2 linked regions of the Canis lupus familiaris genome follow. The protein of the gene in region 2 purifies or fractionates together with the protein of the main gene of each other region. This does not show direct contact. Links are inferred from orthologs where the notes say so. Each region holds a gene or a part of one and is shown on either strand. Other genes may lie near its edges.

Region 1 (7,005 bases), on a different chromosome or scaffold from region 2:
GGGTTTGTGGGGCCAATACTTTCTGAGTGAGTGGGATTCCCTGCCTTATTACTCTGCCTCAGTGCCAAGGCCTCCAGCCTCAAACCCCAGCCTCCTGCAAATCCGTGCTGGGCTGCCACCTTCTTTCTCAGTCCCAGGCAGGTGACAGTTTCCTCCCTGAGTGCGTGATTCCTTCTCTGTTCAGATCTGGCTAAGGTTCAAGTGTTGGACAATATTCTGTTCAGAGTAAACCAGAACCCTGGATGATGCTCAGGAAGGGGTGACTAGTTTAATTTGCAAGATCTGCTGGAGTTCCCACCTGCAGGGGTGTTCTAATAAGTCAGGCATTATTAGATAGACTCTGAAGCATCTGAGACCCCGGTCTCTTCTCAGACCCACCTTTTGTGGGGGAAGCTGTGCCAAGAGACCACGACTTCAAAAAAAAAAAAAAAAAAAGAGACCACGACTTCTACCATATTTATCCCGAGGAAAAATGATTCAAATGAAAGGAAAGGATTTCCTCTAAATAGTAAGTCTTCTTGGAGTGCAGAACTTGATTTATTGGTGGATTTTGAGCAACCCATTCGTTTTACGAGAAAAAGCCTTAGGCAGGATCTCAGAGTCTTTCTGTAAACTCAGCCCTGTTAAAGTGAGCCTGGGGGGCCAGTTATCCAATTTCACAATCAAAAATTTAAAAACCAGGGATCCCTGGGTGGCGCAGCGGTTTGGCGCCTGCCTTTGGCCCAGGGCGCGATCCTGGAGACCCGGGATCGAATCCCACGTCGGGCTCCCGGTGCATGGAGCCTGCTTCTCCCTCTGCCTATGTCTCTGCCTCTCTCTCTCTCTCTCTCTGTGACTATCATAAATAAATAAAAATTAAAAAAAAAAATTTAAAAACCAGGAGCTGTCAGCAGGGACTTGGGGCACTGTGTTTGCTACACACACACACACACACAGGTTCAGAGGCTCAGAGAATGGGCTCTGGTGATGGGCACACTGTGTATACCTGTGGATCCCAGTATCTACCAGCTATGAGCCTTGGGGCAAGTGACTTCACTGCTTTGTGCTTCAGGTTGCTCATCCGTGAAAGGGGTGAGTAAAGAGTGTCTACCTCACAGTGTTGCTTTAAGGATCAGATGAGTTAAAACACAGTGCTTTCAGCAGGACCTAGCTCTTGGTTAGTGTGCAGACCGTAGCTGTTTCTTCCCCAGGGACCATGCTTTGGACCCGCCATCATTAGGGCCCTGCAGTGGTAAGAACAGACCAGGCCAGTTCTCATCCTCCCCCCAGCGGAGTCTGGGGTGCTGTTTCCCTGGGGGATGAGGCCACAAGCTTGACTATTGCTTGCTCAGGGGGTCTGGTCTACCAGTGGAGTCAGACCCTCATCTCCCATCATGAAAAAGAAAGGTGTGCTGCGAGAAGCTTGGGGTGGAGGCATCCTACTGCCATGGTCCAGAAGTGCTCATTAGTTAAGAAGAATTGCTCCTAAGGCAAACTTTGCGTTACGTTTAAGTGGGGGAACATTAGTCATGCAGTTACAACAAATAAAAGTATACAAAAGCATTAAGGAAAACTAAAAGTCATTATGCAAACGTGCAGCCTGGAGAGCCCAAGCACTGTACAAATGCCATACCTGATGGCTGACGTGTGTCGCTGTCAGCGTGTGCAAGTGGGTGCGTATTCGCGTGGTGTAAACTCAGCCTGTGAGTCTGATTCCTGTCTCTTCCCACCTCCCCCTCTCTGCTCCCAGGTGGCATGAAGCCCAACACTTTGGTCCTAGGTTTCTATGATGATGCTGCACCCCAGGACCACTTCCTGACAGACCCGGCTTTCTCCGAGGCTACTGATGGCACCCAGGAGGGTGGGTCCCCAGCCCTGAGCACTCTGTTTCCTCCACCCCGGGCTCCTGGGAGCCCCCGGGCTCTCAGCCCCCAGGACTATGTGGCCACAGTGGCAGACGCCCTCAAGATGAACAAGAATGTGGTTCTGGCCCGGGCCTGTGGGGCCCTGCCCCCGGAGCGGCTGAGCCGGGGTTCAGGGGGTACCTCTCAGCCACATCACGTGGATGTGTGGCCTCTCAACCTGCTGCGGCCCCGGGGTGGGCCTGGCTACGTGGATGTGTGTGGCCTTTTCCTGCTGCAGATGGCAACCATCTTGGGCATGGTGCCTGCTTGGCATAGCGCCCGGCTCCGGATCTTCTTGTGCCTGGGGCCTCGAGAGGCCCCCGGGGCGGCTGAGGGGCGGCTCCGGGCACTGCTGAGCCAGCTGAGGATCAGAGCCGAAGTACAGGAGGTGGTGTGGGGTGAGGGGGCTGGGGCTGGGGAGCCGGAGGAGGAGGAGGAGGAAGGAGACTTTGTGAATGGCAGGCGGGGAGATGCTGAGGCAGAGGCCCTGGCATGCAGTGCTAACGCCCTGGTTCGGGCCCAGCAGGGGCGCGGCAGAGGAGGCGGGCCCGGTGGGCCTGAGGGTGCGGATGGCGAAGGTGGGCCTGCCACAGCCCTCACTTTCCTATACCTGCCTCGGCCGCCCGCCGATCCTGCCTGCTACACTCGCTACCTGGCGCTCCTGGAGACTCTGACCCATGATCTGGGCCCCACGCTACTCATTCACGGAGTCACCCCAGTCACTTGCACTGATCTCTGATGCCCGGGGCCTGGAGCAGAGGGTGCCCAGGTCCGGTGACCTGCTTTGATCAGTGGATGCAGAAGGGAAGGGCAGCCTCCCGCCTGCTCCACGTGTGGGGTGTGGAGCCCTGTGGAAGTACTAGGGGATCCTGGGCTGGGGCACCCCTCTGTCCCTGTGAGAGGGGCTTTAGTGCACTAATGCAGGGCAGCTGTGTCCCCACCACGCTGGGGGAGAAAGGCAGCAGCCCTCCCCACTGGCCTCCCTTCCTTCACTGGTGCCTTGATGGAGGCTGGGTCTCTGCTTTGACTCTCGGCTACCTCAGTCTCCCCTTGCCCAACAGACTCGCAGACCCCTGAGGTTGTGATGTTTTTGTTCTGTTTTATTTTTCTAACCGCTGAACGTGAATAAAAGACCAAAACACTATGGGCTGGCCTGGCTGAGCACTGCTAGGGGCGGTAGGTGGGGCGGGAAGAGAGAGATCTGGTTGGGGGAGTGTGGGAAAGAGCCGCGCTGGAGCGCGTCCCAGCGGCGAGGTGGCCACGTGCGGGACTTGGGGCGCCAGTCTGGGGGAACGAGTGAAACGGAGGCAGCCTTGGAAAGCTCTCCCTGCTCGGCGGGAGGGGGCCGACTGGGGGAGGGACGGCAGTTTAGGGCCTAGGGGGCCACGTGACCCTCCCCCAGGAATGTGGTGACGTCACCGGGGGCGTGGCTGTCCCCAAAATTGGGGAGGAAGGGGAAAAAAAAGGCCAGAAAAAGTTTCTTTCCTGGAGTTCCAAACGAGGTGTGGGACAGAAGAAGGGGCCAAGACCAGAGTCTTGGGGCTACGTGGGGCCTGACCGCTGTCTAGAGTCTCCTGATCCCGGCCATGTCGGGGCCCACCTGGCTCCCCCCAAGGCAGCTGGAGCCTGCAAGAGCCCCTCAGGGGAGAGCACTCCCCCGAGGTGCCCCGGGGCCGCCGCCAGCCCATGGAGCAGGTAAGGCAGCCCCAGTGCCGCCAAGGAGGCCACTGGCCATTCTGAGCTCACCTTCGCCTTCTGGTTCCTGCCTCCTGCCCCTGGCTTGTCCCTGCCACCCCTTCCCTGAAGCCCTTCCGGCTTCCTGCTCCTGCTCTGTTCTGGGACTCCAAGTGTGGGGGGGGAGGGGAGAAGAGTGACCCATGAGGGCGGCCTCCATAAGTGTCACCCTCCCCTCCTTCCCCATCCCCACCTTGGCTCTCTTTTCCCTCACCCTAGCACATCAGCCCCACCCCAGGGTCAATTTTTGCCCCCTCCCATCTGAGCAGTGTTACCAGGCCCCCGGGGGACCAGATGATCGGGGGTTCCCCTGGGTGGGGTGCCATGGAGCACCCCAGCGCTCACAGGTGAGAATTGGAATTGGGAGTGGGTGGGAGGTGGGGGCACCCGGGGCAAGTGACTTGAATTCTCCCTGCTTTTTCTTCATCTCCAGGGGCTCCCCCCAGACAGGGGGGCCTTGCGTCCAGGAAGTCTGGATGCCGAGATAGATTCGCTGACCAGCATGCTGGCTGAGTTGGATGGAGGTCGTGGTCATGCCCCACGGCGGTCAGACCGGCAGGTGACTTCCCTGTCCCACCCCTGTTCCTTGTCTCCTGCCCTCTTCCACACTCCCCATCCTGGTCCTTTCCCTAGATTCTCAACCTGGTACCCTTCACCCTTGCCCCCATGTGTGATACATGCAGGAGTATCACATCTTACTAGATTGTCAGCCTCTTGAGTGCTTGTCAAAGACCAGCACTACCTTGGGGACACACACACACACACACACACACACACACACGTGGGAGGGCCCACAAGTGTGTGTCCTGGAATGGGCCTTCTCACTCCTGGTCTGTTTCTCCCCAGGCTTATGAGCCCCCTCAGCCCCATGCCTACCGCACAGGCTCAGGCTCCCTGAAGCCGAATGGAGGGGGTGTTCCTATTCCTCCCCAACAGCTCTCAGCGTCTCCCTATGGGGGCCCCACTCCAGCCTCCTATGCTACAGCCAGCACCCCCGCTGGCCCTGCCTTCCCTGTGCAAGTGAAGGTGGCACAACCAGTGAGAGGCTGTGGCCCTCCCAGGCGGGGGGCCTCTCAGGCCTCCGGGGCCCTCCCGGGCCCTCACTTTCCTCTCCCAGGCCAAGGTGAAGTCTGGGGGGCTGGCTATAGGAGCCACCATGAGCCAGGGCCAGGGGTTAAAGAGGAGGCTGCAGGAGGAGGAAGAGGAGGCGCGTATGGGCCCCAGGTAAGCCCTAAGTATTGGGATGTGGGGTCCTCATGGACAACTGGACACTGATTGGGTGGGGTGGGGAGTCCTGGGGTGTTGGAGTTCTGGGTCCCAGGGATGTGGCGCTGGTCAGGAAATAGAAGAGGGAGGTGCTGGAGCTGTACACTGGCTCCTGGAGGTGCACCCCTGGGCCCCGGGCTGAGACCTCGTCAGATGAGCTTTCTGCTTGGAACTGCCTGGTCCCCTTCAGGAAAGTCTGACAGCATAGGGAGCTGGAGGTAGGGCTGAACCCCTGACTCCCCCCTTTCAGGTCCCCCTGAACCAGCCTCCTGAGGAAGAGCTTGAGAGGCTGACGAAGAAACTGGTGCATGACATGAACCATCCTCCCACCGGGGAGTACTTTGGTGAGCTGACCTGAGGTGGGAAGGGGGGCAGGGGACTGGGGAGTCAAGGGGACAGCGAATCCACCTTCCATTCTGCATGCTTATTGACCCTGTCCCTCCCTGTCCCCAGGGCGGTGCGGCGGCTGTGGGGAAGATGTGGTTGGGGATGGGGCTGGCGTTGTGGCCCTGGACCGGGTCTTTCACGTTGGCTGCTTCGTGTGCTCTACATGCCGGGCCCAGCTTCGGGGCCAACATTTCTATGCTGTGGAGAGGAGGGCGTACTGTGAGAGCTGCTATGTGGTGAGTGGGTGTGCTGGGGGTGGCCTGGGTGCTGGAGTCTGTAGCAGGAGGCAGGAGGCTTCCATCTAAGGTAGCAGGAGGCAGGAGGCTTCCATCTAAGGTGGAAACTAGATGTCTAAGCACATGAGAGGGACAGAATTCAAAGGTGGGGGATGCCTGGGTGGCCCAGTGGTTGAGCATCTGCTTTCGGCTCAGGTGGTGATCCTGGAGCCCTGGATTGAGTCCCGTATTGGGTTCCCCCCAGGGAGCCTGCTTCTCCCTCTGCCTATGTCTCTACTTCTCTCTCCGTGTCTCTCATGAATAAATAAATAAAGTCTTAAAGGAAAAAAGAACTCCAAGCTGGGGGACTAAACTGATGTGTAAGAAGGAAGGAATTGGGAAAGTAGTGAAATTACTGGCTGCTGGAGGGAAAGGACAATAGTTCCTTACAAATGTGAGAGGAGGAGGAAGAAGAGGAGGAGACCAGACTTATCTTGAGTTAAGGGAATATGTTAAATTTCCACACTGCTGCCCCTGTGAAGCAGCTGATACTACTGTAGGAAACGGAAGTTGAGACTGGATCACTTCTGTAGGAAGCTACAGTGCTGGGACTTAGATCTGTTCAGGGCCACTTTTCACTGAATCCCTTGCAGGCTATAAAAACAGGTGGGTAGGCCAGCAGGGTGCCTGCCAGCCACCGGACCTCCTCAGCCCTGAACTTGCCACCCTTCCTTTCTAATTCGCTAGGCCACCCTGGAGAAGTGCTCCACATGCTCCCAACCCATCCTGGACCGGATCCTGCGGGCCATGGGGAAAGCCTACCACCCTAGCTGCTTTACCTGTGTGGTGTGCCACCGTGGCCTCGACGGCATCCCTTTCACAGTGGATGCCACCAGCCAGATCCACTGCATTGAGGACTTCCACAGGTCAGACTGGGTCTCCCATCTTTCTCGAGACATCTGACCTTCCCCATCTTCTTCATTTCTCCTTTATGTCCCAGTACCAGCTTCTCCAGTTTCCTACCCCGGACTTTGTCTTTCTTGTTACCGTCACTCTCTCTTGTGAGAGCCAAGACCATCCATCCCTCTGGCCTCTCCCGTACCCTTGCATAGCCCACCTTCTCTGGGCTGCACTGTTAGTCCCCTCCAACCCAGGGGCTTGACAGCCTCCGTTGTTCCCTTCCACCCCAGGAAGTTTGCCCCACGGTGCTCAGTGTGTGGTGGGGCCATCATGCCTGAGCCAGGGCAGGAGGAGACGGTACGAATCGTTGCTCTGGATCGCAGTTTTCACATTGGCTGTTACAAGTGCGAGGTCAGGGGGCCCCGGCAAGGGGAATGGGAGATTCTTGGGGTCTGGGGTGCTGGGAATGGTAGAACCCAGGGCTCTGGCCCTGATAGAAAGCTCTTGCTTCTGTCTTAACAGGAGTGTGGGCTGCTCCTCTCCTCCGAGGGCGAGTGTCAGGGCTGCTACCCGCTGGATGGGCACATCTTGTGCAAGGCGTGCAGTGCCTGGCGCATCCA
Region 2 (6,226 bases):
TCCCTCTCTCCCCCCCACCTCACCTCAATAAAGAGCCCCCCGCCAGGGGATCCCTGAGTGGCTCAGCGGTTTAGCTCCTGCCTTTGGCCCAGGGTGCGATCCTGGAGTCCTGGGATCGAGCCCCACGTCGGGCTCCCGGCAGCATGGAGCCTGCTTCTCCCTCCTCCTGTGTCTCTGCCTCTCTTTCTCTATCATGAATAAATAAATCTTAAAAAAAAAAAAAAAAAAAAAGCCCCCTCTAATTGATTTTTTTCTAATAAACTTTAAGCTGGAAAAAGATAGTTTTGGCTTGTTCTAGATGAAATCTTGATGGGAAACAAGTTCCCTAAATTTATATCCTAAAGAATTCCTTCAAAAAGTCTGGTTTGGGGGCATCTGACTGGCTCAGTCAGAGGAGCATGTAACTCTTGATCTCAGGAGTCATGAGTCCGAGCCCTATGTTGGGGGGCAGAGATTGCTTAAAATGAATAAATAAATTAAAACTTTAAAAAAGTGATTTAAAAACGATTTACAATAAACAGTAACCTTTGTTTCCATTTGTTCATGAAAATCTCAAACCCGTTCTAAGGGGCAGCTGATGTCCAGCTGTATACTTTAAGACACGTTTTATATTGTATCTATAATATATACAATGTTTTCTTAATGTTGTGAATATTAACGTAATCAACTCACCTGAAGGAGCTATTTGTTTCTGCTAACAGAAGCTTCACAAAAAGTTGGTCCTACACCCTGACACCCTCCTCTGTGTTCCTGCCCAGACCTTGCTCTTTCTGGAAGCTTCTGGAAGCACAGGTCCATCCACCTTCTGTTTCAATTCTGCCAAAGGGTTTTAAAGGCTAAATACTGGAGTTTTCAGAATACTTCATAGTGGGTGTTCCAGAGGAAAGTAGTTAATCATCACTGAAATTTACATTCCAAATGAACACTTTCTGTGCTTAAAACTCTCAGCTAGAATATTTCATCAAAAGACCCCACCAATGAGGAAGACTGATGCCAGAGATGCCAAAATCAACCCGCTGGAAAACACTGGTTTATAACCTACTTTTTGTGAAAATGTACATTAGGTCATTTTGCTCTGAAATTTAGAATCTCGAGGAACTAAAAGACACTGACATTGTGTAAGTTTGGCAGACGACATCAGATGTGGTAAACCGACGGAGCCTCAGTGTTGTAGTTTGCTCCTGAAAATCACATTACTTCAAAGTCCAGTAATGCCGATTTTTATTCAGAAATACTTTCATATCATACTAACTGAAAAAAAGTTTAAATATTCAAAAGGGATAAGAAATTACATGAGTCTTAGAAGCTAGTCAAACATGCGACATTTTAAGAGTGACCTTTAAAACAGTGTAATTTAGCCCTCAGAAGTAATTTACTTATAATTATTACAACCGAACACAAATATACCATATATTACTCTTTAGGTCTTTGTTTTACATTACAGTATGTTCTTATCAATGGGACACTTGAAAATGTTTAAACCTGCAGAAAAGCATTTTTAAAAAAACATACCACAGGAGAAAAAGAAGCAACATTCCTGTCCTTTACATGATGTGTGGAGATGGGAAACACGACCATAAAACTCTTATTCCATTCTTTTGGGAGCCCTCTCTCAGTATTTGCACTTGGGTCTACTGTTGCTTACACAGGACGTCTTAAAACAATTTCAGGTTTAAAATGAACATTTTGTCCCTAAGTGAGCAATGTGCCCACTTCCACTACTCACTGTCATTAGTATCTTCTGAGTTCTCCTCAGGGGGTTGGTTTCGGGGCACCCCGGAGATACGCAGACCCTGTAGGCAGCAAGCCCTGCCTCACAGCTGAAACACACACTCAGTGGTTACTACAGTGGGTTAAACTGCTATAGGAGCGAACGTGGGACTCAGAACCATCCCTAGGATATTGAAATGAGGGGAAGAGCCCTGGAAGCTCCGCATTTCAGAGAAGCAGCCTCAGAAGGAAAAACAAGATGGCGCCTCAGCGTTACTGGACCGTTAGTCCCTCCGTGAGGGCCTCTTAGCAAGGCCTTTCTAGCCGGCACCGAAGGCAACACCCCCCCCCCCCAACTCAGCTGGGTTCTGCCATTGGGATGCGACAGGGCTGGGGGGGCCGGGGGAGGAACCCAGAAGCTGACACTGACCCACTGACCTCCGGGGTGAAGGTAGGGGCTTCGAGCACTAAAACCCCAGCATCTCTCAAAAAGCACAGCAATCTCTGGTGGCCTCACAAGTTGGGGCTGAAGTTTTGGGAAATGAGGTGAAACTATTACCAACTCTTCCCTTCTTTCAATCAGAAGAAAATAAAGCCTCTTCAAGGCTCCTTTTAACGAGACTATAAACCTGACTTAATTTAAAAAGGACAGTTTAGGTACAAGAACTCCAAGGAAAGAGTGAGTCGCAGACAGTGACGGCCCTTGAACTCCGGGGGGGGGGGACCTACCAGGTGGGGGCTCAGCCACCACCCCAGCCTCTCGGAGTGTGGTTAATACTGTACTTCTGTCACAGGCATCGCACGCTGGCCCTCGCGCATTTCCGCTACACTTCCTCTTGCCCTGACATCCGACATACGCTTGCTTACTCCTTATCTCTTCCAGAGCACTTCTTCTGAACAAAATTCGCTGTTACTGTTTCATCTATCAAGCAATACATACATCAAAACTCAGATTTGTCTTTAACAACAAAGTGCTTAAAACCACCTATGCAATTGGTTTTCACTTCATTTTCAACCAATAAAATCAAACTCGCTTAGGTTTACAAATAATACTGAAAAAAGGAGTGAATCTGATTATTGTCTTACATTTTCGACAATGTGCCTTCGTTCCCAACTTTCTCTTACAGTAAATGATTTATTTCAGTACCTTAATGAGTTGAACTCTTGTTTGGAAAATATAGAAGGTACAAATATAGAGTATTTCAGGATAAAAAATTTTCTTAATATAAAAATGCCTTCTGTTTCAAAATAACACTTTTAGATTCTTCTTGTAGTTTTAGGTTTGGTAGCTAAACTGTTAAGGTTTTATTTAAAAAATAACAAGAGATAGTAACGGTTTTAAATACAAACTTCTAGAGGAACCAATCACACCTGTGGACCATCCCCGCAGAAAAGTTCAGTTTCTCAACAAGAAAACCCCAAATACTTTAGTTATAAAATAAAATTCCATTAACAAAGATAGAAATCTATGCGCCTCACTGATTGCCAGAGTTGCCCGGCACAGCTTCAGTACCACAGAGAATTGTCTAGAAAACAACCTCCACAAAGTGTGCAAGTGCTGCAAGTCGGACAGATGGGAGTGGGGCTGGGCCCTCGGGACCAAGTCCTTCTCCTCAGCATCTTTCCCAGGCTCAGACGCCCGGCCTGGCCCCCTCCACACGCTGCCTTCATGGGGCCGTCCTTCAGGCCCAGGCAGCGCGCTGCCTCTCGGGTATCCGGTGAGGAAGGACGAGTTAGGCGAGCACTTGTTTTCAGCTGTAAACGCTTCACAAGATTGGGTCCCCATAACAAGCTGTGGGAGTTCAGATGAGCCTGGAGCTTTTCAGGAACTGAATGAGGACTCGGTACACGAATGTGTACTGGCAGAGGGTCTGCACCATCATCATCCTCTGTTGCCTCAGCATGTCAAGCACCCTTGGGATGTCCAGCACCTGGAGGGAGAGACAGCGATGAGGGGGGTGCTGACCCCCACGGAGAGGGGAGGAGTACGGGCAGTAATCTGGTCAAGAAATGGACACTTTCTCCCTCAGCGTCTTCTAGAAGAAGCCTCCGGGGAACTTGTTTAGAAAAAACTGGTAGGCCTCTAGGTCCTTTGTGCCCCAGCCCTGGGCCCGCCCACTCCTCCGCCCTGACGAAAGGACATAGCTACCTCATTGTGTTCCAGACAGGCGATCATGACCTCTGACAAGATGACGACGCCAGTCCTTCCCACACCAGCACTGCAATGGACCAGCAACGGAGGGTTGGGGCTTCTTGGCTCACTGGTACTATTCGTATGGCGTCGAACAGACTGGATCTCTTCAAGGTATGCTGTGAAGTATCAATGAAACAGGAAAATACACAGGCATTAAGGCCCATCAAATTGACAGTTTCCAGATTACCATCACTGATGGGGAGGACTCCAGATAGAGAGCGTAGGGTGCCAATTAACCACCTCCCACCCCTCACTGACAGTGTGACTGTGGGCGAGTCACTGCCTCTGCCCCGACTTCCAACTGCCCCTCTACAAAATGAAATGGAGGAGACAGTCTCTAGGAGTCAGTTCCAGCACTCTCCTCTAAACACTTAACGCCCTTATTTTAAAGCAAGCCCGAAGCTTCTGTGAGATAACATAAAGGAAATATCTCTAAAGCCTAAGTCTTCCTCCATGTGGATGCTTTAAGCAGAGATTGTGCTGGGAACGAAGATACTTACATAAAAATCCCTTGAGGTCCTCTGGACAGCCATGCTCAGGCCAGTCTGTGTACTGGAGATGCCACACTGTCCTCTCCTGCCCCGTGAGCAGGTGCTTCATCTTCAGGCCTGTGGTGGCGTAGCAGCCAGAGTCCGTGCGGAACCGGGTTGTGATCTTAAACCTCCCATAGGTGACGGTGTTGTGACGGGAACCAAGTCGTGGCCAATACCTGAAGCTCTTCTCCCTTCCACCCTCCTGTTAAAGGCAGGCACGGTCAGGACGCAGCACTGCATCCAGCCACGGGGGCCCCATCACGCAGTGTGTCTGCAGCACAGAACTGCAACCCCACTCTGCCTTCTTCCTTCAAGGCCAGGACTCCCCGTGACCAACATTAACTGCTCCTCTCAGGCTGACCAAATCAAGGAAGAGAGATGAGTCCTTACCTCCTCTGCAGTCACCATTGCTATAATGGCCACTCCCTGTTCCCACACCATCTGCCAAAAATCCTGACAGGTATTCTGTAACGGTCCCTGCGTGGCAATATAATCCCACTCAATTCCACTGACAGAGACCTGAAATTAGAAAAGATTTTTTAAAGAAATTAATATGTGGGGCGCCCAGGTAGCTCAGTTAATTAAGCAGCCGACCCTAGATTTCAGCTCAGGTCATAATCTTAGGGTCGTATGATTGAGCCCCATGCTGGGCACGCAGCTCAGTGGGGAGTCTGCGTAGGATTCTCAACCTCTTTCTCTCTAAATAAATAAATCTTTAAAAATTAATCAATGTGTATTTATGTAGATATGCATACATGTATGCACATTCATTTATGGTGGTACTAAAAAATGAGTTATTCAGAATAAAGATTTCTCTTATTCTTTTTCCTTGTTAATACAATTCCTATTACTACCGGATTATAAATGTATGGACTCTAAATTCACATATCTACATGACCTGGGGCAATTTGCTTAACCTCTCTCTCTATTCACATGTGTAAGATAAAAATGTCCTGTACCTCATAGGGTGGTTGGCAGGACTAAATTAGTCAGTGTATAAGGTGCTTGCACATCAATAGGTTTTCCATACACAGTTGTTAGTGCTGCTGTTACGGTTCTTCTTAGAAAAACAGTATCACCATAACAGTATCCTAAATTTCAAACACAGTTTCCCTTCATGAAGTACTAAACACAGTAGGCAAAGTAGTAACAATCCAGCCAAAACCGAGGTTAAATGCCAGATTTCTGGGGCAGAAAAAAATACTCCTACTGAAAGTGGTCTCCCCTCTGAACTTCTAAGTCAAGGTCACCCTCCAGAATGACACTAAGCTTCCACCTGAGGCTGCATCCCCTTGAGGACAGTCTAAGGGAACAGAGCCATTGCTGGATCTACGGCCAGGAGATTGGGTTAAAGCCCACCGCCCCCCCCCCCCCCCCCCCGCCCCATGTTGGTGACCACAGTGCCTGGGTTATTCTGCCCATACTTTCATTCAGGGCCACCGGCTGGAATCTCACTGAGAGGGGCTCCCTCGGTGCTACCAGCACCACAGTGAGTAACAGGGTGTGGGTGGGGGTCTGGGGCCACCCCAGGGGAGGTGTCAGCGCTTTATTCAGAGGAAAGCACAGGGAGCCCCATGCTGACAGGTAACAGATCTAGGAGCTCTGAGGCTTGGCCATCTTCCATGCTCTTCAGCTGACCTCGGTAGCTTCTGCAATACCCACACAGGACAACTTGATTCAGTTCTCACCCATCCAGTCACAAGAGGCTGGATGAGTTATTCCACAGAAATGCTTGGTTTTTAAATAAATTATACCCAAATTATTTTTTTTTTAAGATATTATTTACTCA

Evidence for each region. Proteins that work in one complex are often made in the same cells at the same time.
Region 1: the proteins of PTPN21 (region 2) and TRIP6 purify together in Homo sapiens (affinity purification with mass spectrometry; 3 studies listed by BioGRID and IntAct, with this or other methods). This does not show direct contact. The link is inferred for Canis lupus familiaris from reciprocal best matches to the Homo sapiens genes PTPN21 and TRIP6.

What each region holds. Positions count from the first base shown.
Region 1 is NC_049227.1:8,842,761-8,849,765, reverse strand, and holds the start of TRIP6 (thyroid receptor-interacting protein 6), read left to right. Parts: upstream 1-3,165; 5' UTR 3,166-3,469; coding exon 3,470-3,578; intron 3,579-3,836; coding exon 3,837-3,964; intron 3,965-4,050; coding exon 4,051-4,176; intron 4,177-4,463; coding exon 4,464-4,841; intron 4,842-5,133; coding exon 5,134-5,227; intron 5,228-5,336; coding exon 5,337-5,506; intron 5,507-6,232; coding exon 6,233-6,411; intron 6,412-6,675; coding exon 6,676-6,796; intron 6,797-6,907; coding exon 6,908-7,005. Other genes in the region: SLC12A9 (solute carrier family 12 member 9), read left to right, coding at 1,730-2,622. UniProt on the Homo sapiens protein: Relays signals from the cell surface to the nucleus to weaken adherens junction and promote actin cytoskeleton reorganization and cell invasiveness. Involved in lysophosphatidic acid-induced cell adhesion and migration.
Region 2 is NC_049229.1:60,033,587-60,039,812, forward strand, and holds the end of PTPN21 (tyrosine-protein phosphatase non-receptor type 21), read right to left. Parts: intron 4,957-6,226; coding exon 4,828-4,956; intron 4,640-4,827; coding exon 4,405-4,639; intron 4,021-4,404; coding exon 3,860-4,020; intron 3,642-3,859; coding exon 3,513-3,641; 3' UTR 1,205-3,512; downstream 1-1,204.